3 linked regions of the Schizosaccharomyces pombe genome follow. The protein of the gene in region 2 interacts with the protein of the main gene of each other region in a biochemical or structural test. Each region holds a gene or a part of one and is shown on either strand. Other genes may lie near its edges.

Region 1 (11,256 bases), 1.4 Mb from region 2:
GAAAATGAAGAGTATCGTTAGAAAGTAAAAGAAATGTCTAAAATTCGGGGTTTCTAAAGGGAATGTTGTGTTTTTTTATTTGGAAAAATTTCCTTTTTCACCAAGTTCAAGACGCACGAGGAAAATTGCTCTCGGGTTTCCATGTAAGTCAGTAAAGCGGTGTAAGAACTTTTACGACTCCGTTCAGCTATGAAACAGACAGAGTGGTTGGGAAAGGAAAAAACCGAAAATACAAGTGGAAAAGAGCATTTTGCAGCGACCTGTTTACTTTTTATGATGAACCGGAGGATTGCTCACATCAGTGAGAAATGGCGCAATTTTCGTTACCTAGTCCCGGACAATGTTTCTCAAAGACGACTTGTCCGTGATGTCATATAAGCGATACAAAAAGATGTCATGTATCTTGTACCCACCAATCCCAACTTTACTTTAAATAAACTTCAATTTTAGGTAGCAAACAAGGTCCAATTAGGAGGCGAAGACCGGGGGAGTGGAGTGGTACACATGTAACGGCGTTGATTACATAAAAGTAACAGAAAGAAGCACGGCGAAGACGGCCGGGAAAAGCGTGGCAGATGACCATGACATATAATGGTATAACGACGAATTGTGGATTTCAATGATTATAGTGGGAGACACACTTTGCGACAAAGGCGGACGGACGTTATAGAGAAGAAGAAGAGAATTGTGAGAGAAATGCAAGGAAAAGAAAAAATTGTTGGCGTTTGACATTTATCAATTTTTGGAATTGTCATGGAATTCATTTGGATTTAATAATTTTTTTTTTGTTCTTCTTTATCTTTTTTTTCTTAACTTCCTCCTACTGGTTCGTCTTTCTTTCTCTCTCCTCCTCATCCCTGGGTATTGTTTACTGCCATTACATGCTTCGTTGTGCGCAGATTTTATTACACTTTCAACGAGTAATTGAATAGGAAACAAATAAGAACTTCATTTTTTTATAGGTATACAAAGAAATGTGGATGGAATTAGAAGAAAAATGCTTTGCTTAGTAAACACTCCTCATAGCATCTCTCCAATACCTTCTTTCAGCATTACCAAAATTTCTCCTTCTTTTCATTCTTAAAACCCGGTAAATACATTTAAGAAAGTCGCTATATCTCAATCATCCCGAGTCAGGTGCTGCAAAGTCCTAGACGTTTGTGTGTCTAGAAAGCTCATAGTCCAAAGATGCACTTGCATGTCCAAAGGTACACATAAACACCTGTTCATTCACATTATGTCTCTTGAAAACCTCCCTCCCCCTTTTTAGTTACTGTAATCTTCTTCGCTCCGACACTCTTGCAGTACAAGTGAAATTGTTTATCACAAAAAAAAAACGTTCGCACGCCCCCTATGATTTTTCTTGCTCTCTATTGCAATACAAATCCTGAAAGAGTCAAACGATTTTAATTATTGAAGTGTGCTATTATACCAATTTTTAAGTGCGATGCCTCACGTCCTTTGTCCTTTCGACCTTTTTTTCGCTTCTCATTACCTTAAAAATAACCCCACGTTGCACCAACACTCGGTTCGGCTTTAAAAACTGCGGCTACCTGATATCATGCTCCAACCAAAATTCTCCCTCCAAAATTAAGCATCGCGTAATTCTCGTTTGACCTTATAAGCCTCGCCTCTTCTATTGTAATTTCTGAACCGAAGAATGCCCCACACCTTGTAGTGCGCTACCGTTATCGTCGGTATGAATGATAAGACAAGTTATGTGGCTACCTTCGTAACTGCCGTAGTGTGTCATCAACGGTACTCGAAAAGTCATTAAATATGTGAAACGATTGATTAGAAGCAGTCGAAGAGCTCTTTCATTCATAGTTATGAAATTCTTTTTTCTTTCGTTGCCCTTGGCGTAATGTTGTCTTCTCCTTTAGGGTTTTCAATTTTATCGTACTACGCACTGGCTCACTGTTTTCAAACTAGTTGAGTGTACTGAGTTATAGAAATCTATACTCGAAAGAAGAGATTGCAATCGATGAGGATTTTCTTTTTCCTGAAAGATAGAGGATTGTGCTTTGATTACTTTTAATTTCTACTTACTAGCCGTTCTCTTTTGATCTGAGGTGATGTTCTCAAAGTCTTGAGAGCACACAAAGGCAAACGTTGCAAATTTCGCTTTTTCTCGAATATCGTGAATCGTTTCGCTCAATCTGTTCAATCAATTACAAAAAATATTTTTGAATAGGTATATTTTTGATTTCGCCTAAGCCTTTACTTTTTGGTTCTTGTTTGATCTCCCAGATATCTGATAACCATAATGGCTTAACGAATTTCATATGCTAATCACTGACCGTTATGAATACAATTTCCTTGGTTTTAAAAGACTTCAAAATCCTCACTACTGTCACTGCCGCTGGCCCTAAAACATGTTTATGACTTAAAAGACACATACATTTTGTATTCTAAGGTCGTCCAACGCAAAATTTCATAAATGCCCTACAGACTTTATAATGTTGCATAGTCATTGTACAGATCGAAATTGGCATACTCATGATTAGTTATGTAGAATTTCTTTATTTCCTCATATCGTCATTGATGACTGTGGTAAATGAAACCACCCAAAACATAAATCTTCTATCCAAACAAAAGAACTCTAAAAGTCTGCAAAGTTGCAGGAAACAATAAGCTAGTTACGTGCCAGCCAAATCTTTATAGGAAACCATAAAACGTGAGCTGGTTTTACTTTTTTTAAAGGTCATAGTTTCTAATCGTGTATTTCGAAAAAATGTGAAGAATAAAGGAAAAGAATCGATGAATTGCGTCTAACTTCTCATCTGGGAAAAGAAGTTGTAAGTAAAAGTACAGGATCGCCAAAACAAAAGGGAACATAAGAGACAATCGAAGTATGACTCCGGCATCCTCAAGTTTGACAGCGCTCAAATTTTTGAATTTTCCTACAAACTGAAGACAAAGCAAGCCATCAGCAGAAACACTAACTAGTGCTTCAGAATCAGGGGATAACTGCATATCAGTTACTGGAAGGCTATGCTTATAAACTTGAGACAATTTCTAGCATGCATATTAGAAGGCAAAATCGCAATAAAAATATTTAAGTAAACACATACCGTTAAGTCTAAAGACATGAAACGAATGCTGCAATCTGCTCCAGCAACTATGATCATTCCATTCTCCTTATCACAGCAAAAGCAGGTGACGCCCTTTGCATTTTTTAAATCTCGGATCATGCCAAATCTCCAAAGTTGATTCTTTGAACTGTAATCAAATCGAACCAATGAAGCAAACCTTTTGGAATCTTTAATATAGTTATAAGCAGCTACTATGGATTGGTTGGGTAAAAACGAAACACCTCGTACTGTGGCTCGCTCTACCGGCATGTAAAGTACTTGCACCAATTCAAAAGTGTTCCAATCATAAATTTCGACGCGATCATCAACTGCAATTGCAAGCTACAAAAGAATGGTAAGGATTTAATAAATAAAATTTAGTAAAGGCTGTGGCTTACCTTGTCTTCAGTAGATGAAACGTCATACACATCTGAACCATGTTTTTCAAACAAAACTTTGTGATCATTTTTGGAGATGATAAAAAAACTTTTATTAGTGCAAGATATACAAATTGCATCGTGTAATGGCTCAAATAAACATAACCTTTGATATTGTTCATCATTGTCAAAATCGGTTAACCTGAGAGCGTTCTTTTCCTCAAATAGTTTATCCTTTCTTCCATATAAACGTAAATGGTCAATTAACTTTCCGTCAATGGTGTTATTAATACCGGCTATTAATTCCTACAATTTAATTTCGTTAGCTATGCAATAAAAAAATATTGCATACATTTTTAAAATAACCCAACGACATAACGGCATCATCCGAATGCTTAAGTTCGATTTCTCCATGTTCTATAAATTTTGTATGACCTTCACCAACTTCAGGTTCATAGTCTTCATATGATAATAACTTCTAAATTCGACAAACTAATTAGCGCCTATAGTCCAATTGTAAAACATAATCTTTTTAGCTAACAATCCGGATACTAAAAAGTTTATAATGCTGTAAAATAGATAGATAATGAAGTAATCCTTCACTTACAGTCACGAATTGACATACCAATTTGTTTTTAACACCAGATTTTGTAGTTCCTCCTCCACCACCAACCGCCATTTGATGGTTATTAATCCAACAAAGAGAATAAGCTGGAAAAGAAAGGTGGAGTTCAGCCATTTTGATCTAATAATTAGAAAACACTTTAAGCTGGATACGAGGAATAGGAATGTATTGAAAAAATAAATCGATATCGGCGACGAATCAAAAAAAAATTCTACTTATTAGTGAGCAAATCAATAAAGTACACTTACAAGAATTCCACTAAAAAAAAACAATGTCTATTTGAATACGGTGGTGTGGGTATGTTTCGAAATCGCTGTGAACCTACTTCGAGACTTAAGCAAATACTGTAAGAATATTAGATCCCCGTATCAGAATCTATCGAATAATATCGACATCACTATCCTCTTTTACGTATTTAGGCGATGTTTAATATATACATAAGTTTTTATCCATTTTTTTATGACAGTAGAGAAAAGATTTAATTAGAGATAACCTAAATCCTTATTGACTTAAAAAAGGATGATACTTACTTGTGGATATTTATTTGCGAAGAATCTTTGAACAAACAGAAACTTATAATAGATTCTTTCTAAATCTCGGAGCATATTCTGGCTCATTTTATATTTATATTTTCCTTTTCAGCTTTTTAGAACTCAATTCCGACCTCAGTTTGGTTGCAACTTTGCTACAGACACTATTTAATATCTCGGTCTCCTGTACATTTTACCAGGTTTACGTTGTATTGTTTATATAGTTTATATAGCAATATTTACTACATGTTCATCATATTACGAAAATAGATTAAGAGAACTGGGGAAAGAGTGAGGAGATGAGAAATTTTCGGATTTATTTATAATTTCCAATTATTATTTTTAAGACGAAATTGCCGCGAGACTACATTGTCCATGAAATTAATGTTTGTGTTTATTCTACTAAAGGGTATGAATGCTCGATCTCGTGCCAAGGTGCCTACAATCTTAATACGCCGCTGCCTGTGTATGATTATAATATTACTTCTGTTTTTTGCACAGAAAGCGTGTTTCATTTCAAAGATTGACTTCCAATTAAATTTAATTAATAATATGTTGTTTCATTTCCTTATTTAACTACCAATTCTTGTTCATTTGCAATTCACTCAAATATGTAACTGAACGTTGTCAGGTAATTTTTTGGCTTTAAATGATATGCCTCAATGGAATATAAAAAAGCATAATCCTATATAACTATTGTTTTTTTCAGCTTCGTTTCAGTGAAATGTTATGCTGATACAAATTGATTGAAACATGAATGCAAGACTTTTTTCAACTCAACAATATTTTATTTATTAGTAAATTTTAGTTTATGTAATAAACTCTTCATTAAATTAATATAACTTTATAGTGCTGCTTTCTTTTTGCACATCGCACATTAATTGCAAAAACTCTCTTCTCCACATCCAGGGTATCTGATGTCCTCGACAAAGTCTCAGCGAACGAGCGATTTGGGTTTTTCATAGCAGAGAAGTATCCAAATTTCAAAAATATTATTATTTTACTGGCTTTATAGAGAAGTATTTAAATTTTTGCATAACCCTCAATTGATAGAGTGCTGTAAATTCTACTTACATTATTCACATGTCTGCCGATAAATTTCGTGATTCCACGCATTACAGAGATTGGATTTTTACGGAAGAAGACCTTTCAAAAACACGTGCTAAAGTAAATGAAAAATTTACGAATATTGTACGTGAGCGAATGCTGGAAGAGTTGTCTTTACAAAACAAGGAAGCATCCTTAGAAGTTTTGCCTCCAACTCTTACCGTTGAAGAAGAACTTGAACTTGTAAATTATTATAGTTTCCAGTTGAACGCACTTTCTTCCGCTCTTTCCTTACCAACTCATATTCGCGTATGTTTAGACATGGTCGGATTTCCTTCAATTACTTGGAAACTGTACTCAATATAAACATTCCGACTTTACTCACAAAATTTTAGTCCACGGCCATTCTTTTTTTTAAACGCTTTTATCTAATTAACTCTGTCATGGAGTATAGTCCAAAAATTATTTCGTATGTTTAAGTCGCCGAGTCCATTAAGCTAACATTGTTTTTCTTACATTAGGTTTACTTCTTTATTTTTAGCTACCAAGTGCAACGATCATTATATCTCTATTGAACAATTCTGTAAAAACATGCCCAAGACGACTCCCGAAGAAGTTCTTGAATACGAATTTAACGTTTGTCAATCATTAAAATGGGACCTTTACGTCTGGCTTCCATTTCGTCCTTTACAAGGCTTCCTTTTAGATTGTCAAACAGTGCTTCCGAAAGTTGCTGTCGAAAAGTTTTACGAATGTCATGACCTTTCCAAAAAATTCCTAATTGAGACATTGCATTCTGACATCTATTTCTTACATTCACCCAGCATAATTGCTTTGGGTGCTATTTATCATACGAATCCAACTATTTGTTTACAATATATAGAAGCAAAAAAAATTCCAGAACTGCAACCTTTGATAATTTCGATTTCTGCCAATTTGAAAGCTACAAAAAAATTTAAGATTGAGAAAAAAAAGGCACAAGATTACGGCAGAAAGCTATATTTCTGCATGAATCCTCTGCGAAACAAGTCTAGTGCTTTGTACCTTAAACGAAAAGCGGAAGAAGAATCAACTAATAACAACAAATGGGCTAAAAAGTTCTCAACCAGCAGTAATGTGTTGGATAAAAATCCGTTTGAATGATTCTTTCTTTGAAAAGTGCTAAATTTACTTCAATAGTCATTATTCGTCAATTTTTTTTACGACAAAATAGTTTACGTTTATAAAAAATTCCCAGTAAAATTCACTATCAAGTGTGTCTCATTAATTATTTTTAATGTCTATTTGTAAAATTAAAAACATTTTCATTTCTCTCACAGCCAAGGAGCCCATAAGACGTCCATCTGTGCCAAAACTTTGGAACTAGAGGCTTGCGCCAAATAATCAATAGCTGTTTGATTGACTGGTAAGTTACCATAAGCAACCTGACTTAATGATGCAACCCTTCGCATTATAAGATCAGTATTGCTATTGACTTTGTTGAGCATACTGAAATCTGCCGGCACGCCTTTAGTTTGCTGTGCAAGCCACCAAAAAAGATCATCTCTAATAAAGATACCCAAGTACATATCCAAATCGAAATCCGGTTTGGAGAGCGCGCGAGCTATAGCCATTATTGAAGGGCCCAGTAAACCTTCAGTACAAGTTTTTCCAATAAATTCTTTAATGTTGGGGGTAAAGCGAAAAGGAACAATTTCTCCATTATGGTAAACTGGAGTAGAAGAAACCATAGATGGCAGCGCTTCTGTTGTCCAAACACCGCCAGAGTCTCTAGAAAAAACAAGCTTAGCAGGTATCCTATTATTTATACTTAGTATGTATGTAATAAATGAAAAACAAGCATATTGGTATGAAAAATTTTTTCTGAACAACCACAGATCGGAATAATTAGTAAAGATACTTGAGAAATAATCTTTTAAAATCGTTGACGGAGAATAAAGCTTTTGAATATTTTCAAACATTCCGATTCTCCTACTAAACAATTGTTTACGATTAGCTAATTTTTCAGCATCAGTAGATTCCTGACTAATTTGGGAGTTTAATTCCATCATATGTTTTGATAACTCGTTTGTAAACAACTCTTTCGGATCATCTCTGGAGAAGTTATTTCTTTCTGAATAAATTTCGTATATTTTTTGGAGAGTAATAGAAGACGGTTGGTCTTCTAACAGCCGGATGTGCGATGACAACGGAATCACTGCAGGAATGTAAAATTTCAAACAACGTCTTCGAGTCTCACAATTTAAAGCAAGTGCATCATTTAAGTATCTGGTCAGCTGCATAAAACGCTCTTCCCTACGGCTGTTTCGTGCTGAAGGATACTGAATGACAAATGGGTGTATAGTTCCGCCATTGCTTCGAATGGATAACCTTCTATAGCAAACGCCATGTCCTACTATCAATTCCACTTCAGGAAGAAACCTTTCTATGCAAGAAAAACTATTGTTGTTATCCTTGTGCAAAAGATATTGTCCAGGAACTTCTATTTCATCAAATTTTTGATGATGAAATTCACACAAGAATGAGCTGTATTGTTCCAAATATTGTTTTTTAGGAACCTTAGATAATAACCGCTCAAAATATGATCTCCATTTCCTTAGTTTGAAAATATATGATTTCAAACCGTTTGAATTGACAATGAAATCTTCCTTAAATAGTTGTTTACAATAGTCAGGGAGAATATTATCAGCAAACAAACTTAAGTTCGATTCGGTTGAAGAAGGAAGTTTCATTTCATCCGTTACGATCCCCAAACGAATGCTATGCTGTACAGCATCATTAAGCAAGGCTACCACTAGCCTGAAAGCATCTCCATCATTCTTACATTTAAACTTCGCTTGAATTTGATCAACTAAAGTTTCCATAGTCAAAGCCAATAGAGGATAAGCAGTTTTTAAAATTGACATAATTTCATCAATATATTCCCAAACTTTTTTAGAAAGTCCATCTTCTTTATTTGTTGCTGGAGCATTCGTGCTTTGATTGGTAGAAAGAAAGTTAGATTGTATGCTTAAAATATCCTCATTTCTTTTATTTTCATCAGTCGTATTTGATTTCCATGCTGCCATCTCAGTGCGTTTTACCTGTGCAATATCTTCACGAGCAGTTCTTAAAGTGAAAAATAGTGCCTGTGGATAGGATTTAGCAATTTTTTTAAGAACAACAGGTGCGCATTTAGTATCCCCTTTAGAAAGTGAATTTAAAAGCTGGGGAATAAAGGTAAGCCAATGCCAAACTGGTATATCACCTTTGTATGATTCAAAAGCTTTAACTATAGTACCGGCGCTGTCATTCAAACTTAATAACCACAATACCCTTGCCAGCATCTTACGAGCTTTAGAACTTTGGTAAGTACCAGCAGCTTGAAGATAGCAACTAATGGCATTGCATGCTGCACTCAAATTATCTGGTGACTTATTGAAAAGCAAATCGTTGTAACGACCCCATTCTGCCCATGCCTTTGGCAACCCTAAATCAATTTGTACTGCTGCAGCATACATTTGGTTAGCCTCCTCACCTCGATTTAGTTTTTCTAAAAATTTTCCTTTTAATGTCACGAATTCTGACTTTTGTCTAGAATTGAAGTACATCAGATTGGTATTTGTAACAACCTCCAAACCTGTTTTCAGATCTCTTGGGTTTTGTAGATAACATAAAACTTGCTCTCGAAGCTTATAAAAAGCTTCTTGAATTTCAATATTTGGAAGAGTATATATCTTCGTTAATTGGTTCAGACATACGGAAGGTAGTTTATGTTTTCTGGCAACATGAGCGAATCGGTTAATTAGCCAAGCGGTTTCATGATATCCTCTAAATAAGAAAGAGGTATTCGGAGGATTAGACGAATCAGCACTACTATTAGCCTGTATCGTAGGGACCAAGGGGAGATAAACACGATTTATCATAGAGAATACTATTTGTCTCCAAGAAATGAGATCACGCCAAAGATTAATATCGTCCCAGACATTAGGTAACCGCTCTTGCCAAACTTGAAGAGCACTTTTAATCAACTGAACATTAGTAGGCAAATTCTGAAAATTGATAGCATTCAGATGTGAATAAATTGTAGCAGCTTCTTGTAGTTCAACAAATTGCTGAAACAGATGCAAAAGTGAATAATGAGATTGATTAACTTTTTCTGGAAGTTGATGCCACTTAATTAACGCAAGTTGAATGGCTTCAGACAATACTTGTTGGAACTCTTTAATGGCAAGAGGTTGAGATACTGACTTTTGAAGTGTCATAAAGCATTGAAAGGTAAGTTTCCGTGGAGTAGGAACATCAGAAAGGCTCTTAATGGCAACCTCTAAGGATTCACGATTATTAGACCAATCGCTAATTCTCCAAGCACACTCGAGCAATAGTTCAGAAGATCCCTCGTGCTTCGCCAACTCTGTCAAGACGTCCCATTGTTGTAATTTTTGAGCGCACATTACCCACTGATCCTCCCACAAGTTGTATTCTGATTCTGAGAAGGGAATGGCTTCACTGCGAGCCTTGGTCTGTGCCTGTTCATAAAGTTGTTGAGCCCTTCCCCACATTCCAAGTTGCTCATACGAGAGAGCAACTTGAGTTTGCAAGTACTTACAGTTTCGTCGCCAATGGCCATAAAACATATCATCTTCATTTAAAGATGCATATAACTCTGCGACTGCATCCGCACGGCTTTCTTGAACTTTTGCATTCTGATACATGTCATATTTATCACTCAGCTGAATTTCGAGAAGTGAAACGGATTCATGATATACACCGTACAATTTTCCAAGATATTTTACCAAATGAGGTGGAAGCTCTAATTTTGCAGCACACTTAACGAAAGATGAAACCAAAGTAGAGATCACATTCGGTCGATTGTTTACCTGTTTGATGTGATAATCACGAGTGAGTAAATAGATTAAAGACTTTGAAAGGTCAGAACGGTTATCCGAACTTAGTATTTTCCATGCAAGAGGAAAAATATATTGCCAAAGCTTATTAGCATCTGCATCGCTGAGCATTTGAATGTGTGCCAACGGAAAAATAATTTTTTGCACAGTTAATTCCTTATTTCTTTTTAGGAACAAATCCAGTTGTTTGAAAAAGGTAAATCTGCCAAGAGGAATAGCTGAACCGTTGTGTTTTGAAAAAACTTCAGGAAGTGAGCTTAATATGGGTTTTGTCATTGGCACTGGAGCAAATCGAAGACTATTGTCGGTAAGCCGGACAGGCTGTTTCGCATTTATAGCCCCAAGAAGAATATAATTCGCTTGTTTGATCCAGTAAATGCTAGGAATTGTATCCCAGCTAGTTGCATCCAGTATGAAAGTCAATCTAGAATAAACATTACGAGACATGCTGGAATCAAAAATATCCATAAAATCCATTCGTATTTTGGTATCTTTAGATGCCGTAGCAAGAAGGAAGGCTTGCTTCAATCGGGCAGTTAATTCTGTATGCGCAAAAATGGGATCCCTGTATATCGTGGATAGCAAATCACATGCTTCGATGTATAGTTTGTTGTCAAATCTTCCCTCAAAAGTTCTCATCTTCAATAAAAGTGCAGTTTTTTCTTTGACTGTCAAAAACGAATCTCTTTTCACAATCACCCATTCCTTTGTAACATT
Region 2 (7,007 bases):
GGCTGGTAAAGAAGGAGATTGAGCATCAGATCCTATGTCTAAATCGATAAGTAAATCCATGGCACTTTGAGTATTAGATGCATTAGCCGAGGTTTTGGAATTACTCTTTGCCGATTCAGTAGTAGCTTGAAGAAGCGAATTGTTATCGGCAGCAACGGTACGAGCTGATGAAAAATCGCCTTCCAGTAAGTGGTCATATTGGGTCAGTAAAGATGCGATTAACGATTTCAAATCGCTAACAGTCACGTAAGAGTCATCTTCCGGACTCATTTCTTCTAATATCTTATCAACCTTACGCTGAGCAGCCTTCAAGGAATAGGCCAGCTCATCGTACAAATCACCACTGGCTAGTTTATCGGATTCAGAAACTTCATTCAACATTTCACCAAACAGAGCTGCTTTTCTTTTGACTTTTTCTAAATCTACGAGAACATGTTCCTTATATTTTTGCTTTTGCTCAGTGTCGTAACCAGCCATAACTTTCATAAGTTTGTTGGCTTCAGCCAAATCTGCCGGAGTACCGCGACGAATTAGTTCCTGTAGTTTAGCAGACATAGCTTCTCTGTCTTCCTTTTCAAGTTCTTCTGCTGTTTTTAGAACAGATTTTTGACTTAAAACAGCAAGATTCTCTTTATCGATTTCAGGAAATGTATAGCCTAAAGTGGTTAACTCGGAAATTATAATCGAGATTTCAAGTTAACTGAATACAAACCTTTGTAAGATAAAAGTCGGTGCATATCCCTAATAAAACCGAGGTCTTCTTTATAACGATCAACACGACAAATGGTTTTCCGCCATTCCTCAATTAAAGAAAGAATCATGACTTGGATTTTGTTCAAGCGAGAAGGTGGGCGCTCTGGAAATCTTCTTACTAATTCGTTTAAGAATTCTTTAGAAGCAATTTGTAAACGAAAGGCATATCCACAATTTTTGACGCAAATATCAAGAAGCTAGAAAATGTTAGCACAAAAGGCATTTGAAAAAAACGTGAAAAAAAAAGGGCTCAGCAAAATTTATAATAAATTTAACAAAAATCTATTTTATACAAATCACAATAACCAGATTGGAATTCTGAAGGTTCAGCACTTAAGATTGTTTCGTTCAGAAAATAAACAAGTTATAAAAGCAGTACCATATCAAATAATGCGAAGTAACTTCTAAGTGAAAAACAAAGTTGTGAAAAATTAAAACAGAACATACATTTAAAGCCAGATAGGCAACTGTTGGATTGCGATCATTGACCTTACGAACAATGGCAAAGGCAGCTTCTCGAGGCCTATAAAATAATAAACACGTTAGTATAATCAATATTATAAGTGAATTTCCTACAAATTTCCGCCAGTTTGATTAATCAAATCAGCGATATCCAAATTAACCGCTAGATCTGGTTCAAAAGCGTACGGCTCGGTCGCATTTTCTGCAGTTAGCAACTATAAAGTAATGTAATTTCTTACGAATTAAACTGTATAGTCTTCTTTTAGCGCTAGACATTAAGTCAATAATTCCAAATTGTTACAGCAGAGCGGCTTAATCAAAGATATTCAACTACAGCTTCAATGCTTAAAGTCTATGAAAATTGCGTATCTCTCTGTATTATGGTAGACGTCCAATTTCGTCATTATTCTAAATAAGGATACGAGTTTAAGTAACCATAAAACTTGCGGCCAAGCGCTCACTATTCACGTAGCCTTTTTGGTTGTTGATGTTTACCTGCCAACAATGTGACTCTTCTCAGTTAGTTTTTTCAAAAATATAATTCTACTAGAAAAAAATTTAACCTCGCTTTCGCTCGTAGGAAATTGTTTTGTTGTATTACGTTTGACTTGAAATTTAGTAACAAATAAGAAAACTAGAGTATTTTACCAACACGCATATCCAACTAAGAAATTATTCACATTCTTTAGCTAACAAACCTCTCCAACTGGTGAATTCGAAAGTATTATCGAAGATCATCATTGAATTTTTAAAAAGACAGGTCACACAACACAACGATTTACAAGAATTATTAATGCTACTATTACTTATGCACGCGACATATCTAAAATGAGTTTAAAGTTACATGTCTTAAAATCAACACAAAATTACGAAAACGCATCCATCATATTATAACAAAATGTGCATTTGCTTTTTGAAAAAATAATATTTAGGCAAGTCCCTTGAGAGCACGTCTGCGGTCACGCTCTTCGGTAATGCTGAGCTTGACACCCTTACCCTTGGGCAAAGAAATCCAACTCTTGCCAGTCTCGCCAATGACAAAAACGTTGGAAAGACGAGTAGCAAACTCACGGTCCAAAGCATCCTTAACATGAATGATTTCAAAGGAACCAAGATGGTGCTCACGATGGACAATGGTACCAACACGTCCCATGTTACGACCACCGGTAACCATAACTTGAGCGGAAGTATCAAATTTAATGAACGACTCGATCTTGTTGGTTTCCAAGTTAAGTTTTATGGTGTCGTTGACCTTGATCAATGGATCGGGATAACGAATAGTACGTCCATCATGGGTGACGAGAAAAGGAACACCCTTAGCACCTAATTGAACACGCTTGACCTTGCAAAGCTTGTATTTAGCCTCTTCAGCAGTAATACGGTGGACAGTGAAACGGCCCTTAATGTCATAGACAAGGCGGAAGTGCTCACCAGTCTTTTCAACGGAGATCACATCCATAAAGCCGGTAGGGAAAGTAGAGTCGGTACGAACCTTTCCATCTACCTTAATGAGACGTTGCATAAGGATAGCCTTAACCTCACGTCCGTTCAAAGCATATTTAAGACGGTTACGCAAGAAAACAATCAAAGGAAGGCACTCACGGGCCTTATGAGGACCTGGAGAAGGCTTTGGAGCGTAAGTTCCGGAGAGCTTGTCCAAAAGCCAGTGGTGAGGGGCAGCAACACGCTTCAAATGCTTTTTAGGACCTCGAACCATTTTTGGTGGATGCAGTATTCAATATCCAAAATTTTGGCCAAGTGTCAAAAGATGTGACTGCTTTGTATAGAATATCGATGCCGAGTGCACCACAGTAGCCTATTTAACTGTCAAAGTACTCGCTCGTTTAATAATTAAATTAGAAACCGTAACGTACCACGTTAATAATTTAATGAGTTTTTGGACGTACCAGTTTTCCAGAAAAGCTGGAGTACGATTTACAAGAAGGCTTTCGCTAGTCTATTGATTAATTCATATTGTATAAAACTTATATATAAGAGATTTAACGATCTTATAAATACATCATAATTCTAGCTTTACTACCAAATATGTTAAAAACATGGATTGCATGTTTACATAAATCATTAAACGTTGGAATGAGTATTGTATTATCAGATGAAAATAAGAGTGTCCATAATTCTGAAATATGGTTAGAAAAAGCAATCAATTTCCATTAACTCTTAAGCAATGGGCGATAATACCTCAAAGAGTACCGCAAGGAAATGAAGCTAAGTAGAAGATATTTTCGTATAACGTTGATATCGAAATTATCAGCGAGTAGAGTAAACGTCTAAAAAATAGAATGACAATTATCTAAACAGAAAAATCCGCATACAGTCACATCATTCCAATTTTTCTGTAGGGAAACATGAATGAGAAAAGAATGGTATATAGTTAAAGGTGCATACTAGCACACGATCAATCATTAAACAAATTTAATATTTGCACGCATTGGAAAGTTGTTTTGTCGCTGCAGGTCACTAGAGACGTGCTTGATTCCTTCCTCACCCCCTTTGCGTGGGAGAAGAGAAGGATGTGTGGGTTTAGGAAGGGCAGAAAAATAATGATGCTCAAGGGCTTGTTGAGCAGTGGGACGACGATATGGATTGTAATCCAACATCATCTTGAGTAAATCAATTTCTTCATGGCCAGCTGCCGAAAAAAGAGCCTCCATACCACCGTTAGGAGGAGGAATGTGTTTCATCTCAACGTAGTTGGGAAGCTGTTGCATGCTTTTAATGACCTCTGGTTCAGGAGTTCCAAGAGCGCGGAAAATTACGTTAAGCTGATCCAGATCAGATTCGCCTGGCAAATACGGGGTCCTAAGCATCAACTCTGCAAAAATGCAGCCTACACTCCACATATCAACACCGGTGCCATAGCTTCGACAACCCATAAATAGCTCTGGAGGCCTGTACCATCGTGTAATGACCTGATGACTCATGTGGCTTGGGGTGCCAAAATCACGAGAAAGGCCAAAATCAGCCAATTTTAGGACACCGTCACTCGAAATTAAAAGGTTATTAGGCTTCAAATCTCGATGAAGGATGAAGCGAGAATGAATGTGATGCAAACCGCGTAACAACATGACCATCCACGATTTGATGTGGGCAGGTTGAAAAACGATGAATTTGTCTTTGATCAGCATTTCCAAATCACTGTCCAGGAATTCCAAGATGATGTTGAGGTTGGACTTTGTGGAGAATACATCAACTAACTCGATGACATTGTCGTGCCTTGACTCCCGAAGAAATTTGATCTCTCGTAAAGCACTTATATCGATACCATCTTTGAACTGGCCCACTTTAATCTTTTTAATAGCCACACGCCGATTAGTTTCTTTTTGGCGACCCAGGAACACGACGGCATACGTTCCTTCACCAACTTTGCGCTCCTTCACATACGTCCACTTGTCAGACTTTTCGATATCCATAACGAGAAACCTTAACCCCTATACTATTAATTACAGAGTACTTTAGAATACAGTGGTAAGTAAATTGAGGACAGGTTTGTATAGCAGTATGATGGTATGGTAGTGAAGCTATATACAACAAAAACACACAAACAATTCCAGCAAGACTTTTTCTTATAGGGAAAACCTTTTTACAAGAGCTTTCTCGATGTGTATATAAATGAAGTAGGTACTTAACACACTACTTCGCAACGCAATCTTTTGATCTTTATACTACTCCCAACGTTTGTAAGCAAACACCCACGTTTTAAATTAAGATGGAAGAAATTCACCAATATATGTATTCAGGATTCTCGGTTTAGCAAACGTTACCGCATGGCTTTCGTAATCTTGTAAAACGCTAATTCATCGACTTGGACTCAACAAAGCAGGAATGGTCGAAAGGACCCACAAATTTGGTTCATTATTGGTGTAGCAATAATTACAGTGACTACTAAGGGATGGGTAGCATGTCACTTTTGTGGTAAATTTTAAGATTCGATTAGTCTGGGGTTTATCGACCAGCATCGTGTGTGGAGTCAGTGTAAGGGGCTCTGTGGCTTATCTTGAATGCTTGTTACATAACGAGGTGTAGAGTAAACTCTTGCAGCACGTTCACTTTCGTAATTCGATTTTATTGAAATTCAATCTACGTTGGAGAAAAAAGGAAGAAGTAAATAGCTCTGAGTAATACTAATAGTCGTTGAGTAGATATGACAGATACAAAGGCACACAGGCAGTACATGTTGAAGTAAAAGAGGTAGTTTTCTTGAAAAACAGGGGCTTTAATGGTTAACACCACGGTTGGTGAATCGCATCACACTCTATTCGTTGTGCCACAATTTACTCTAATTATATCGCGATGCCATTTGAAAATTGTTTTCCCTCCACTTCTTCCCTCATAACAATTCTGCCTGCTAAACAATAATTTATTTAGGTTCCATGCTGAGATGAGACTTATCCACCCTTTTAATTTACACTCCCTTTGGACACCATTACTAGCGAACCGGAAAGACTGTTTATAAGCAGTTCTCCAATTTACTACCAATCTCACACTTAACAAATGACATGCTAGCTTTTTTCCTTCCTGTTGTTATTCTATTATTTTATTTTATTTTTAATTGACAGATTCCAATAAACCCCACGAAAACTCGCACTGCCTTTGATTCATTTTGTTGGGAACTCATTTAACGGAGCCCTTCGCGCTCTCTATGTCAAAATGTGAAGGAAACTAGCTACAAGACAATCAATTAATCAAAATGCTTACGATGTCAAGAATTGTTATTATAGACTAGGGAGCACATAGTAACTAGCTAGTTAATGACGGTATTACGAAACTACAAATCCAAATACTGATGCGATGGATTATATTAATGAATATACCGTTTACAAGGGTAGTATTCGTTATTGCCAAATACACACAGCTCCACATCCTCCATTGCAAAAGGCGATGGGTGATGGGGGTACACAGGTATATATGAAAAGAGAAAAAGCAATAGTCGTTGGGGGATTTGTTTTGTTGTACGGTGAATGTGGACTGTGTAACAAAAAAAATTGATATAATAATTATTTTTAATATTTTCTCATTCCAGTTAAAAACACTTTTATTGTATCATGAGAGGCATACAAAATAATTGGAGTTGTTGTAAACAAACAAATCCATGACTGGAAACTGAGATCGCTCTTTACGATTCACTTCGTCTCTCACTTCAATGTCTCTTCTCTTTATTCTTTTAGTTCCAATATGATTAAATTTTTTAATAACCCCCCTCCCCTTTTTCAGATGACCTTCTGATTACTATGCTTTGATACAGAAATAAGCTCACAGATAAACGAATTTCCGACCTTGTTCCTTCTCTTACTTACTAATTTTAAATTACGGCTTAGACTCTTATTTATGCATCTCTCAAGTGATTGAACCATCTCCATTAAGCTTCTCCACATTTCAACTATACTTTGACGAAATCACACAGTCATTCTACCCCACAAACAGTCCCTTAATATAAGTCAAGATGACTGAACAACAGGATTTATTGATGTCAAATCTGTATTTACATACCATATCCTCAATTCCATCATATTGAGAGAATGCCTGGCATTTTCCTACAAAAGAACGAACCATGCCCCAAAATGCCGGCCTTACAAACAAAGTGTTTAGTTTATTCCCAAAACTATATTCTGTTTTCACTGCACCAAACTTGGTTTTACAAACAATAAGTGTTCTTTGCAAATCCATCACGGCTCAGCTTCAATAACCAGCACTCTTTTTTCGCTTCTAATAGTCCTTTTGCAGTACCTTTATTTAATAACATTCGCCTGGATATAAATTATTATCATTATTAT
Region 3 (11,901 bases), on a different chromosome or scaffold from region 2:
AAATTCTTTTGAAGCAGATTTCAACAATGGGCTTAACTCCAGTTCATTTGATATCGCCCAAAATATTCTAGCTCAGGACACTCGGGCCGGCCTGGACGAAGCCGCTACTTCACAAATTCGTGGATTGATGAAACAGCTTCAGTGCTCATTTGATCAGGCAAGACTCATCTATATCCGTAAAGTCATGAGTGACAACAACGTTGACTCTACCGGCATGCCACTTGACAATAAAGCTGTTACAAAACTTTAAATGTCATTAAGCAACAACTGAAATCAGAAAATTACGCAAAGTCCTAAAAAATCTTAGTTAGTGTCTCCGAAAATATCTCAAAATCTTCATCGGCGGCCGGAATTTATTTTTTATTTATTTTTCCAGAATGGTATGTTAACTCATGGATACGAAAACATGTGGATACCGATTTATTTCGTTAGTTATGGAAACGAAATATAACATTGTCATAAGCTTTCTCAAACTTTTTACGATTCATGGACTTCCAAATCTTCAATTACTGCTAACGCTATCAATAATTCTTAAGAATTAATGAAATGTTTATCTTCAATGTTCTGACGATCCGCTGTACTTTCCATGTTCTATTTGCTATATGTTACTTTTGTGATCATTTGCTGCAATATATCAGCAATTCTCGAGATAGTAAGGCTGGTCTAAAAATTTTTTTAGTATTCGAACTAGCTGTTACTATTTTCAATACGGTAATGCTTCAATTAGCTAACCGTGTAAAAAACGGGCTCACCCTTGCAATATTGATTGTCTCTGTTGTAATGTTTGTGTATCATCAACAGCTAATAGTTAATTGCAAAAAGATGCTAGCCTTATAATTATTTGCTTTTCAAATTCCTTGAAGAGTAAAATTTTGAAGAAATATTTTGTTTTATCATGTTTGATAATGATCAAAGTGAAATTTCGTTTATTGTTTAGTTTATTATTGATACTTTAAGAGTCAGTAAGCTTATTAAAAGAGAGGTAACATTGTTTTTGAAACTGCGTAAGCAATATACGGGGCAGCAAGGAAGAGTGACAAAACTGGTGAAAAGTTTTAAGGTAATTGTTTAGCGCAGTACTCAGAGTCATTTAGCAATGCGTCATCTGGTATGTAACCCGCAAGGAAAAATCACATGTATGCTACTTCCATCAGTGCAGTCGTTTTGTAACCTTCTTTCTACAATTCATAACACACAACCTCTTTCTTTTTTTTGAACAATCTGTGAGGGTCTTATCGATTTAGACAGCATTTCGCCTCCTTCATTCATTATTTATTATATTCCCTGATGTAGAACAAGAAGGCCTTGCGATGGACGCGATTCATCCCGTATCTTTACGAAATAGTAAAAGACATCCATTACTGCATTCTGAAAGAAACCTCAGCCGCCGTGCAGTTTCTCCAAGCATAAGCAGATCATTTTTTCAGCATTCTAATGGATCCTTTCCCCTATTTCAGAACCACAGAAAGAGCTTACCTTCCGCTATATATAAATCCGTAGATCCATATGTTGATGCCAACCCACTAGATCCCTTAGCTGCTGCCAAAGCGAGTTTTGCGGATTTTCCTGAACAAGATGATTCTCAAAGTTCCACTAGTCCTTTATCCTCGAAGTATCACACCAAAAAGAATAAGCAAATTTTTGTCGAGGATTCAAGAAGAGGCGGGGCGGCTTCGAACGCGGCTGCCATTGCGGCTAAAAAGAGTGGTTATTATGAACGTACATCAACTAGAAAACGGTCGTTGACCGTTCCAACACCTCGTACATCTTTTCCGCATCATCCTCGAAGTCGACGATTTTCATTAAAGAATGCCGCAATTGCCACTTCTTACCACAAATTCAAACCTCTTTCATCCAATTCACTTTCTTCTTCCGGTATGCATTTTTCCGCTAGTAAACAGGCCTTCAACTCTCCTTTACTACAGACTTTCAGTCCTTCCCCTTCTGTATCTCCATTTTCGAATCCAGCCGTAGAGAAATTGAAAACCAGTGCGAGCAAGCAAGCGGCTGAAGCACAATCTTTAAGAGAGTTTGATTTTTTCACTCCTACTCCTGAACCCTCAGATAAGAATTTGGAAAAGCTGAAAAATGGTGCCAGTAAACAAGCTAGCGAATCCCAATCTCTCAAAAACATGGAATCACTTTCATTAGCAAGATCTTCACCAATCCTTACTTCAGAAAAGTTAAAAAATGGAGCTAGTAAGCAGGCTATTGAATCTCCACCTTTCAGAGCTTCGGAACCACTACCTTCATCAAATATTATACCGAATCCTGCTATGGAAAGGTTAAAAAATGGAGCTAGCAAACTAGCTATTGAGTCCCAACCATTTAAATCAGCGGAACCGTTATCTTCAGCAATTCCACTTCCCAATCCTATGTCCGAAAAGATGAGAAATGGCGCCAGCAAACAGGCTATTATGGCCCAAAGCTCAAAAATCAATCCCTTACCGCCACTAACAGCTTCAATTTCAGACCCGTCTTTTGAGAAATTAAAGAACACTGCTAGTAAACAGGCCATTGAATCTCAATCTCTAATGAATAGTGGCCCTGAACTTTTAGAGCCGTCGATTTCAGACCCAATGTTAGAGAAAATGAAGACTGATGCTGGTAAACAGACTGTTGAATCTCTGTCGTTGAAGAGTTCTGACGCTACAATTCCAAAACCATCAGTATCAGATCTTGGGGTAGAAAAACTTAAAAATGATGCTAGTAAATGTGCTGTCGAGTCTCAGTCCTTAATGATTAATGATCCCTCTGTTTCTTCAACCTCATTTTATAACCCAAATATGGAAAAACTGAAAAACGGTGCCATCAAGCAAGCTATTGAGCACCAAGCTTTAAATGCTGCCATTTTGAATAAGACACAATTACCTTATTTTCATCAATCATCTTCCGAACTACCAATATCTGCTAGCAAACGGGCTGCATTGTCTCAACAAACAGAGTCGGCCTCAAAGTCATCTAGTAATATCTCTGAAATGTGTGATTCACATCCTCCTTCTAACTTTTCAATCTCTGCTAGCCAGCAAGCTAGCAAGGACCGTTTTTCGGAGGCTACTTCTTCTATCGATTTGGATCTGAGTCCTGGTAGAAGTCTCTCTTTGGCTTCTAGTAAGCTTTCTGTGAAAGAAGCTGGTGCTCGCGTTTATAATAGAAGCGTTGCTACTCCAGTAATGACGCCGTCCAACCCATTCGAAATTTCCAAATCAGCAAGTCAGTTAGCGAGTATAGCTCAAGTACCTGTTTCCGAACCCGCAAAGACTTCAGAAGTGAACCTTAAAAAAAGCCTTTCCTTAGCTTCTAGTAAACTTTCTTTTCAGGAAGCTGGTACCTCCCTTAAAGAGAAGACTGCAAATGTTCAACATTCCCCGGAAGTTTTGAATGACCGCTCTTTGGCGTCACTTTCTGCTAGTCGGCATGCTGATGCCATATCTTCGAAAAGCAAACAACATACTGAAATCGCGCAGCCAGCATTTAATACGACTGGAACTGTGCTAATGAAGACAAAATCAAACCTTTCAGATTCTGCGTTAAGCACACCACAACATTCTGATTCGGTGCTTTTCGATATTACTTCTAAGGCTGCAAGGCTCGCTTCTACTTGTGCTAAGACAGATCTACACAGGAAACCAAGGAGAAAACATAAATCATTTACCCTTGAGAATTATTTTGGGCATAATGCTGAAGACGAAAGCCCTCAATCTGACGAGGTTGAAAGTCAAACGCCCCCTTCAGGATATTCTGAAAACGATATCGGCGGAACGGACATATACCCTTTTGCTTTACAAGGAGCTGCTTTGGCTGCCGCGAAAGACTTTTCAAGACGTGAAGCCTCCTTAAGTGATAGCCAATCCGCTGCTTCTATGGATATGTTGCCTATGAAGAAGAAATTGTCCCATTCATCTGCATCTTCTACCCGTTCTATTAAATCGTTATTAACTAATGCTAACCAAAAGCATATTCATTCCTCTATAAATGAAACTGATGATATTCCTACAATGGCCGCTCATATTGTTGCAACTGGTCAGAAAAATAAAGAAAAAGCACCTTCTTTTTCTAATGATCAGGCCCTTGATCACTTGCTTGGGTCTGCTCATAAACGAATTCCTTCTAATAAAACGGAATGGTCGTCGTCATCATTGCACATTCCTTCGCATAATTCTTTTTCTGACATCCATCATAGGAAAATAGCTGCTCATGCTGCAGCCATTACGGCTGCTTCCGAAAAACTTACACCCTCCATAGAAGAAACGTCGTATTCTTCGTCCAAGGCCCATGATGCGTCTTTGAGTGCTGCCACTCTAGTTGCAAATAAGGATAAACTCATTCACGCACCTACCCCTCAAGTCCTGGCTCCTGTGCTGCCAAAAGTTTCACTTCCTCATCGTCATTCAGTTTCACTTGGTCAAATTCGAGGAGAATCTGAAGTTGAAGGAGATGTTTTTTATGATGCTCCTTCAGATAAAGAAGACCTTGGATCTTCAAACGCTCCTTTAGATGTACCACATGGTGCTAATCGTAGCAGCATGGATGAAGTTAACGGTTCAAAATACGATTACAGTGATGGAATACTTGATGGCTCAGGTCAGTATACTGATAGTGATATGTCCGATGACGAGAACTCTCTCAAAGATTCGCAAAGTTCGGTTTTAAGCTTTTCAGCTGTTCCCACAAAAGTATTGAAATTTAAGTTGCGTGATGTATTGGGTTCTGAGTATTCTCCATCTCCACAACTGCTTGCCTCTTCAAGTGATGTTTCAGGCTCATCGTCAGCAGTACGCGCAGCTATGAAAGCAGACAAAATCTTTCCAGCTGTTCATGAAAACCCACCTCCTTTAAAAACGAAGCAATCAATTGCCAAACCTTCACCTCATACATTGCGAGTTCCTCAGAAAAAGCATAAACATTTTTACCATCGTGATGACGGAAAATACAAGAGTGGAACCAATTTGCGTAAATCCGAAACTGTTGATCTCCCGCAGTTCTTTATTGATGAAAATCGTAGAAAGCTCTATGAAGGGTTGTGGGCTGCTAATAAAGGTTATTTACTGAGCAAATCAGAATATTCCAAACCGAATGATTTGATTTGCAATATTGTTGTCCGCGAACTCTGGTCTCGTAGTGGTGCTCCAACGAGTGTTTTAGCCAAAATTTACGATCTCGTTGATAGACATCACACAGGTGTCTTGGGGCGTGATGAATTTATTGTCGGTATGTTTCTGATCGATCAATATTTGAAAGGCCGCAAGTTACCGTTGAAGGTACCAGACTCTGTATGGCTAAGCAGCAAGCGTATGGGGGATATGCTTTGGCGATTAGAAAAACTGCAGAAAAAGACAGATAATAAAAAACCTTTCTTCAAAAAAAAGAAGAAAAAGAGAAAACATTTGAAAAAGTTTTTCGACTTTAATACAACAGCAAAGGTGAACGAGGGCGCGATGACTGACTAGAGAAATCAACATCGGGTCCTCTTTTTTTTAACGGGAAATATCTTTAAGCTTATCAACATTTATTAAAAAATGGCATTTCGGTATTACTTCATTAAGGTCTTTTCATTTGAAACACTCCGTTGTGAACCTGTTTTCGTAAAGCTTTCGCTATTTTTGCGAACCACGTTTTCAATCAGTTGTTAGTTTGCTTTTGTTAATCGTTAATGATAGTACTTTCTGATCTATTTAAGCTGTCGATTGTTTTACTCAATTTGCAGATATTTCACAACCGAAGCGACCTTTTTAAGCGAAAAGAAGGACTTTATTTTTACATCATAACTTTTCATTTTGCAAAACTTTTATTATTCATTTTTACATTTTTTTATGCATTACCCTTTTTATTACTTGATTAATTACTGAAGCATAGGTTAGATTTACGCTTAACGAATTCCTTGGATACCATTTGCTTGTTTGTTATAAAATTTTTCAAGTATTATTTATATCCTTTAATTAGCATTTTTTAACTATAATAAGCCAACACAAAGGTTTAGCAATTAAAACTAGCCAAAATACTGTTCGATGTAGATTTTTTTTTTAAAAAGACATGACTTCTTTATTAAACAATCTTGCTAGTATGAACTTGTCCCAATCCATAATGTGTTGTGACTCACTTTCGATCCTTAAGTTTAGAGGTAAATAAACCAAGTTCTCCAAGGCCATGATGCCGAACTTCTGTTTTTAATGTTAAAATCATAAGATATTATGGAGTTAGCTAAAATTGGAGACAGGCTTAACAATTATTACAATAATATTTATACACTTTCCGAAAAACTTGGGTATTCGTTTACAAAGATCAGTTTTAACAATATCATCTTGGACGCTTTGTCAGGACACCAAAGAAAATTGGAGATCAAAATTATAAATATTGAGTCAAAATGCAATGAATTATCTTCTGAGATATCTCTTTTAAGAAAAAGACTGGGCATCATCGAAGAAATCGAAATACCGCGCACTCTAATTGACCAATATGAATGCCTGGTAACTTACCATAATGGTATTCGAGCAATCTATAACACGAAGAAAAATGAAGCAAAAAATATGTACAAAGAAATTGAAAGGTTATCTGTAATCCTTGGTGAATCAGTTGATGAGGTGAATTTTGTGAACGGTGATTTTGAGGACATATCGGATATAAAGCTTGAGCAGTTGTCAGCAAAATTAAATGAACTTCATCAGATATACAGACTTAGGAAAGAAAAAAACATTGAAATTAAAGAGGAATTAAAAAAACTGCAGGATTCTTTGTCTATAAAACTTAGCATGCCCGCTGATGATTTGTCCAAAAACGGAATAAAGCATTTGATAATTTACAAGGAGAAGCTCAGATTTTCTTTAGAAAGCAGGAAGTCCCGGGTCGATGAAATTGTCAACGAAATGAAAAATATGTGTGGTAAAAACCCGACTTCTGAGTTACCGACCAACTATAGTGATAAAACCTTGACTTTGGTAAGAATTTGATATTTTTATTAAAATAATTATTTTCAAACTAACAATATAGTGGGAAAATGAACTTTCGTCCATGCGAAAAGTGTACTTTGTTAAGTATAAAACTGAATACGAGTTTTTACAAAAAAGGTACCTTTCACTGGCTCGCATAATGTTCGTTTCTAAAAAAGAAATGTTGTTTACATCTCAATTTAAAGAAATACCTAACGTTAATCGAGAATTAATTCAAAGTATGAAACAAGAAATTGGGAACCTAGAAGTTGATCTCCATCTTCAAGGGGAATTGAACAACATGATTAGGCGGTATCTTCTCTTAGAGTCTAGGGTTTATAAAGAATCTCAAAGAATGAAGGTATTGTCTGGATCAGCTTCGCAGCCTTTCACTTTAAAGCGCTTGCAAAAGGATTTTCAATTACTGAAAGCTAAATTAATATGCGCATTAAGGGAGTGGGAGGAGGATAACGAAAAGAAAATTTATGTCTTTGGAAAACCATTGTCTTCAAGATTATTAATGATACATTCTCCACCAATTTTGCAGAATCAAGAGAATATTTCCTCTAATGACAATAGCAAATCTTCACCAGAGTCATCGCCACCTGCGCGGAAAACCACAGGTAAGATCGAAAATAAAAAGTTAAGAAACATTGATGTCCAAAGCAAAAAAAGCATTCGTTTTCCTCTTAGGCTAGCCTCTCATGAAGAGCCGTTAATTGATAGAATGGTTAACCAAAGTCCTGATACTCGAAGTGTTTCGAAAAGTAAGAGATTAGTAAGGGAAACATCTAGTGGTTGCTTATTCAAGAATCATTCTAAAAGTAATACACTTTCCCCTAGGAGGAAAGGCTCTCGGCATGGTCCCAGAGAGCCGTGTTTGTCTCCCGATGCTTCATCTTCGTCGATTCCGGTCACTGATATAAAGGAGATACTTCCTTCGCAGCACGACACACCTCATAACTCTGTCAAGCTTACTGGAAGTTCGACGACTCCTGCTTCTGTGTCGCTTCGTCAAATGATAGAGCCATTGTTATCACGTACTCCTCCCAAAGGTGAATTTACTAATTCACTTGATGATACACCGACTCAGTCTAATGTGGAAAAGGTTGACAGGTTTTTGGAAAACCATGATTGGGAAACGTGTAGTGAATCTTCCTCTGCAAGTGAAGATCAAAGTTTATGTAAACAACTATCTTCTTTTTCACTTTCCAGTAGTGATATCTCAAAGAAGTTAAAAAACAATTTAAATGGGCTACACTTTTCGTCTGATGAAGGTTCTAAACTACCTACTTTTCTATAATTTGTCTCTCGTTACTCTACAATATTTTTTAATATACTTACTATTAATGTATGAATATAATGAAATAATTCGTAATTTTTTTAACTGAGCATTAAAATATTGTAGTATTAACATATTCAAAAGCAATTTTCTCCAATCTTATTTCATACTGTTTAATATTTTTTTATCTTATTCAAAAATAAACAAGATTTTTAATTTTAAGTGCTTTGACAGTATCTTTTCTTTAGTCTATGTTGTAGTGTACTGTACGCTATTTGCCAGTTGCCTTTTGCCTTTCACCAATTTTTGCACCGATAAAACCACATGGGTAAATCACAAAAAAAGACGGCCAAAGGCCGTTTGGATAAATGGTATAAGCTTGCCAAAGAACAAGGTATTTATTAATAGCTACAATGAACACTTTTTAACGTTTAGGGTATCGTTCTCGTGCTGCTTTTAAATTAGTGCAATTGAATCAGAAATATAGTTTCCTTGAAAAAGCTAAAGTCATCATTGATCTTTGTGCTGCGTAAGTTGTATAGTTATTATTCAAAATCCTTTTACACTGACCGTCAAAACAGTCCAGGTGGTTGGTTACAGGTTGCTTCTAAAACATGCAAACCTGGCTCATTAATCGTTGGTGTTGATCTTGCTCCTATTAAACCCATTCCTAATTGCCATACGTTTGTTGAGGATATTACAAGTGATAAATGCAGATCGCAATTGCGTGGATATTTGAAAACTTGGAAAGCTGATGTGTAAGTAATTGATATGCTGCAGGAAGCGGTTAAACGGGTGCAACTATTCTTGTTTCACTTGCAATCTTAGAAATTTGATTGAACTGATTAGAATATTTGTTGCCCATATTGGTTTTTGTCGAATTTTTATTAATGCATTGAGCAGTGTTCTTCATGATGGTGCACCAAATGTTGGTTCTGCATGGTTGCAGGACGCCTATGGACAAGCTCAGTTGGTGCTAATGTCAATGAAATTAGCATGTGAATTTTTGGTTGCTGGTGGTACATTTGTTACAAAAGTTTTTCGTTCAAGGGATTATAATAATCTTTTATGGGTATTCAAACAACTTTTTAATAAAGTTGAGGCTACTAAACCTCCATCTTCTCGTAACGTCTCTGCAGAAATTTTTGTCGTATGTCGTGGGTACAAAGCACCAAAAAAGTTAGATCCTCGCTTTACAGATCCTCGTACCGTTTTCGAAGAAGTCCAAGAGCCAGTTACAAACGTTGATGCAAAAGTGTTCCATCCTGAAAAAAGAAAACGTAGTCGTGAGGGTTACGCTGACGATGATTACACATTACACAAAACTGTCTTGGCATCGGAATTTGTTACCGCAAATGATCCCATTCAAATCCTTGGTACATCCGCTGAAATTGTATTCCCAAAAGATGATGAGGAATGTCAACGCTTATACAATTTAGACGTCACTACTGAAGAAATTCTTTTGTGTTGCTCAGATTTACAAGTATTAGGTAAAAAAGAATTCCGCGATATTTTGAGATGGCGACTGAAAATAAGAGATGAGATGGGTATAGGTAAAAAGGTAGAGGATGAGCAAAAAACAGTGGTTGAGGAGATTCCTGAAATGGATGAAGAAGAGAGACTGGATCAAGAATTACAAGATTTGAGTGAAGCCGAACGTGTTAAACTCAAACGTGAGCGTCGGAAAGCGAATCAGCGTAAACAGCGTGAAATTGTTCGTATGCAAATGGGAATGTTGGCCCCAATGGATATTGGCTTGGAACATGAAGCCATGGGCGAAGACAGTTTGTTTGGTCTAGCAACCGCTGAAAAGCATGGTTTAAAAGAATTGGAAAATGGAACGCTTCCCGTAACTGAATCTGTTGACGAAGAAGTTTCTACGGACAATGAAGTCGAATACGATAGTGACGATGAGCGCGATCGCTTAGAGGCTGACTTGGATTCAATGTATTCTGATTATACTAAACGCAAGGCTGAATCTGATGTGAAATATCGCGTTAAAAAAGCGCGTGGCGATCTTGATGATGAAGAATGGAACGGTATAGATAATGGCACCGAAAGCGATGATTCTCAGATTGCTGAGACGAACTTTGCTACTCCTGATAAAGACAGACTGACAACGTCTTTGTTAGACAAAGGTTCGACTAAGGATGGGCTTAGTAGAAAAGCACGTATGTTTTTTGACCAGGACATTTTTGATGGTATTGAAGATGCCGATGCTGATGTGGAAATCATGTCTATGAACCGCGCTGCTATAAAGAAACGTGAAGCTGAACTTGCTTCTCAAAATAATGACGATGGAAGCAAGGGAGACCAAAGTGAGGACAGCAATGATCATATTGAAGTCGTTCCAGTTGCTTCAGCTCATGATGAAGATGATGATTGGAATTCTGATTCTGATAATGATGAAAACAACGTTGAAATTGTTACTGCCGAGGCAATGACACTAGCTCAGGATATTGCTTCTAGGAGAAAGTCTAAGGCTGATTTGATTGATGAAGGTTATAATCGATGGTCGTTTCAATCTAAAGAAGGTCTTCCAGATTGGTTTTTGGATGAAGAAACAACCGTCAATAAACCCAACAAGCCAATCACCAAAGAAGCCGTTTTGGCTTTGCGGGAAAAAATGAAGGCTCTTAATGCTCGTCCTATCAAAAAAGTTCTTGAGGCACAAGGTCGTAAAAAGATGCGTACTATTAAGCGTCTGCAACGTGTCGCTAAAAAAGCTGAAGGAATTTCAGAAAGCGGTGATATGACTGAAAGTGAAAAAGCTAAAGAAATATCGCGACTCGTAAGCCGTGCTACTAAATCGAAGCCTAAAGCAAAGCCTACGTTAGTTGTTGCAAAGGGTCCTAATAAAGGCCTTAAATCTCGTCCTAAGGGTGTTAAAGGAAAGTATAAAATGGTTGACAGTCGAATGAAAAAGGATTTGCGCGCACAAAAAAGACTAGCTAAAAAGGGTCGTCGTTAAAATACTTGACTGTTTAATTTCATTAACAGTTTTTCGTGGAATTTAGGCTTAAAATAATTATATCTAGGTTAGAGTTTGGGTTTTAGTGGATTAATAGTATTCTTATTTAGTATTAGATTTGGGAGTAACAGCATGGATATGTTTTGCAAGAGTTAAACTGCTACATATATAAACATTATTAATTAACTATTTATATGCAGTTCTTTTCGAATATTTCGATTGAGTAAATGGAAGAAATTTGAATTACAGGTCTAAACCAGCGGAGGAGCAGCCTCAATTCGTATTCGTCTACGGACGTCCTCAATGTCGTTCGTCAGTTCCTTTTCCCAATAGACATTGATCAATGTTTTTGCATTCAAACCATTACGAATCGACCATGGAATGTATACCCGACGAAACCTTGAAGCCTGTTCACAATTTAAGCGTAGAGGACCAAATAAAGCAGAGAGAGCTCCAACTGGTAAACCCATGTTAACAAATTCCAGCCTAAATTGTTAGTATACAAACCATGAAGTTAGAAATAAAGTAAAGTATATCTATACCATTTAATAGCTAATTCTCCTTCAATGTTTGTAGGCATGTTACATATAGCATGGTAAAAATCGTGAGATTCACGATATCTTTGCATAACATATGCCTCCTCTGGGTCATCTACAAAACGGGTAGGGCTTCGAGTATCGGGTCCAACATGCTCTTTGTCTATCCAGTCAACATAAATTTTA

What was found.
Region 1: the proteins of mcs6 (region 2) and mcs2 form a complex in vitro, tested with the Schizosaccharomyces pombe proteins (one study listed by BioGRID).
Region 3: of the proteins of mcs6 (region 2) and spb1, one has a biochemical effect on the other in vitro, tested with the Schizosaccharomyces pombe proteins (one study listed by BioGRID).

The regions. Positions count from the first base shown.
Region 1 is NC_003423.3:1,887,467-1,898,722, forward strand, and holds mcs2 (transcription factor TFIIH complex cyclin Mcs2), read left to right. Parts: upstream 1-5,513; 5' UTR 5,514-5,689; coding exon 5,690-5,962; exon of another isoform or gene 5,963-6,048; coding exon 6,049-6,122; exon of another isoform or gene 6,123-6,174; coding exon 6,175-6,796; 3' UTR 6,797-6,942; downstream 6,943-11,256. Other genes in the region: GDP/GTP exchange factor Spo14, read right to left, coding at 2,698-3,018, 3,075-3,416, 3,473-3,757, 3,804-3,929, 4,077-4,190; SAGA complex, phosphatidylinositol pseudokinase subunit Tra1, read right to left, coding at 6,967-11,256. UniProt on the Schizosaccharomyces pombe protein: Essential for progression through the cell cycle. Possesses kinase activity that can be detected when myelin basic protein (MBP) is provided as an exogenous substrate.
Region 2 is NC_003423.3:3,241,068-3,248,074, reverse strand, and holds mcs6 (transcription factor TFIIH associated cyclin-dependent protein kinase Mcs6), read right to left. Parts: upstream 5,075-7,007; 5' UTR 4,647-5,074; coding exon 3,639-4,646; 3' UTR 3,507-3,638; downstream 1-3,506. Other genes in the region: gga22 (adaptin), read right to left, coding at 1-656, 713-950, 1,201-1,276, 1,330-1,417, 1,455-1,491; rps401 (40S ribosomal protein eS4), read right to left, coding at 2,144-2,932. UniProt on the Schizosaccharomyces pombe protein: Protein kinase essential for cell proliferation, where it is required for completion of cytokinesis. Phosphorylates the C-terminal repeat domain (CTD) of RNA polymerase II.
Region 3 is NC_003424.3:913,782-925,682, forward strand, and holds spb1 (rRNA methyltransferase Spb1), read left to right. Parts: upstream 1-8,499; 5' UTR 8,500-8,532; coding exon 8,533-8,602; exon of another isoform or gene 8,603-8,643; coding exon 8,644-8,737; exon of another isoform or gene 8,738-8,789; coding exon 8,790-8,966; exon of another isoform or gene 8,967-9,111; coding exon 9,112-11,179; 3' UTR 11,180-11,352; downstream 11,353-11,901. Other genes in the region: SPOM_SPAC1687.07 (uncharacterized protein), read left to right, coding at 1-250; SPOM_SPAC1687.08 (uncharacterized protein), read left to right, coding at 547-837; irs4 (ENTH/VHS domain protein), read left to right, coding at 1,311-5,450; protein mcp1, read left to right, coding at 6,192-6,935, 6,988-8,229; ubiquinone biosynthesis protein Coq4, read right to left, coding at 11,431-11,665, 11,722-11,901. UniProt on the Schizosaccharomyces pombe protein: Required for proper assembly of pre-ribosomal particles during the biogenesis of the 60S ribosomal subunit.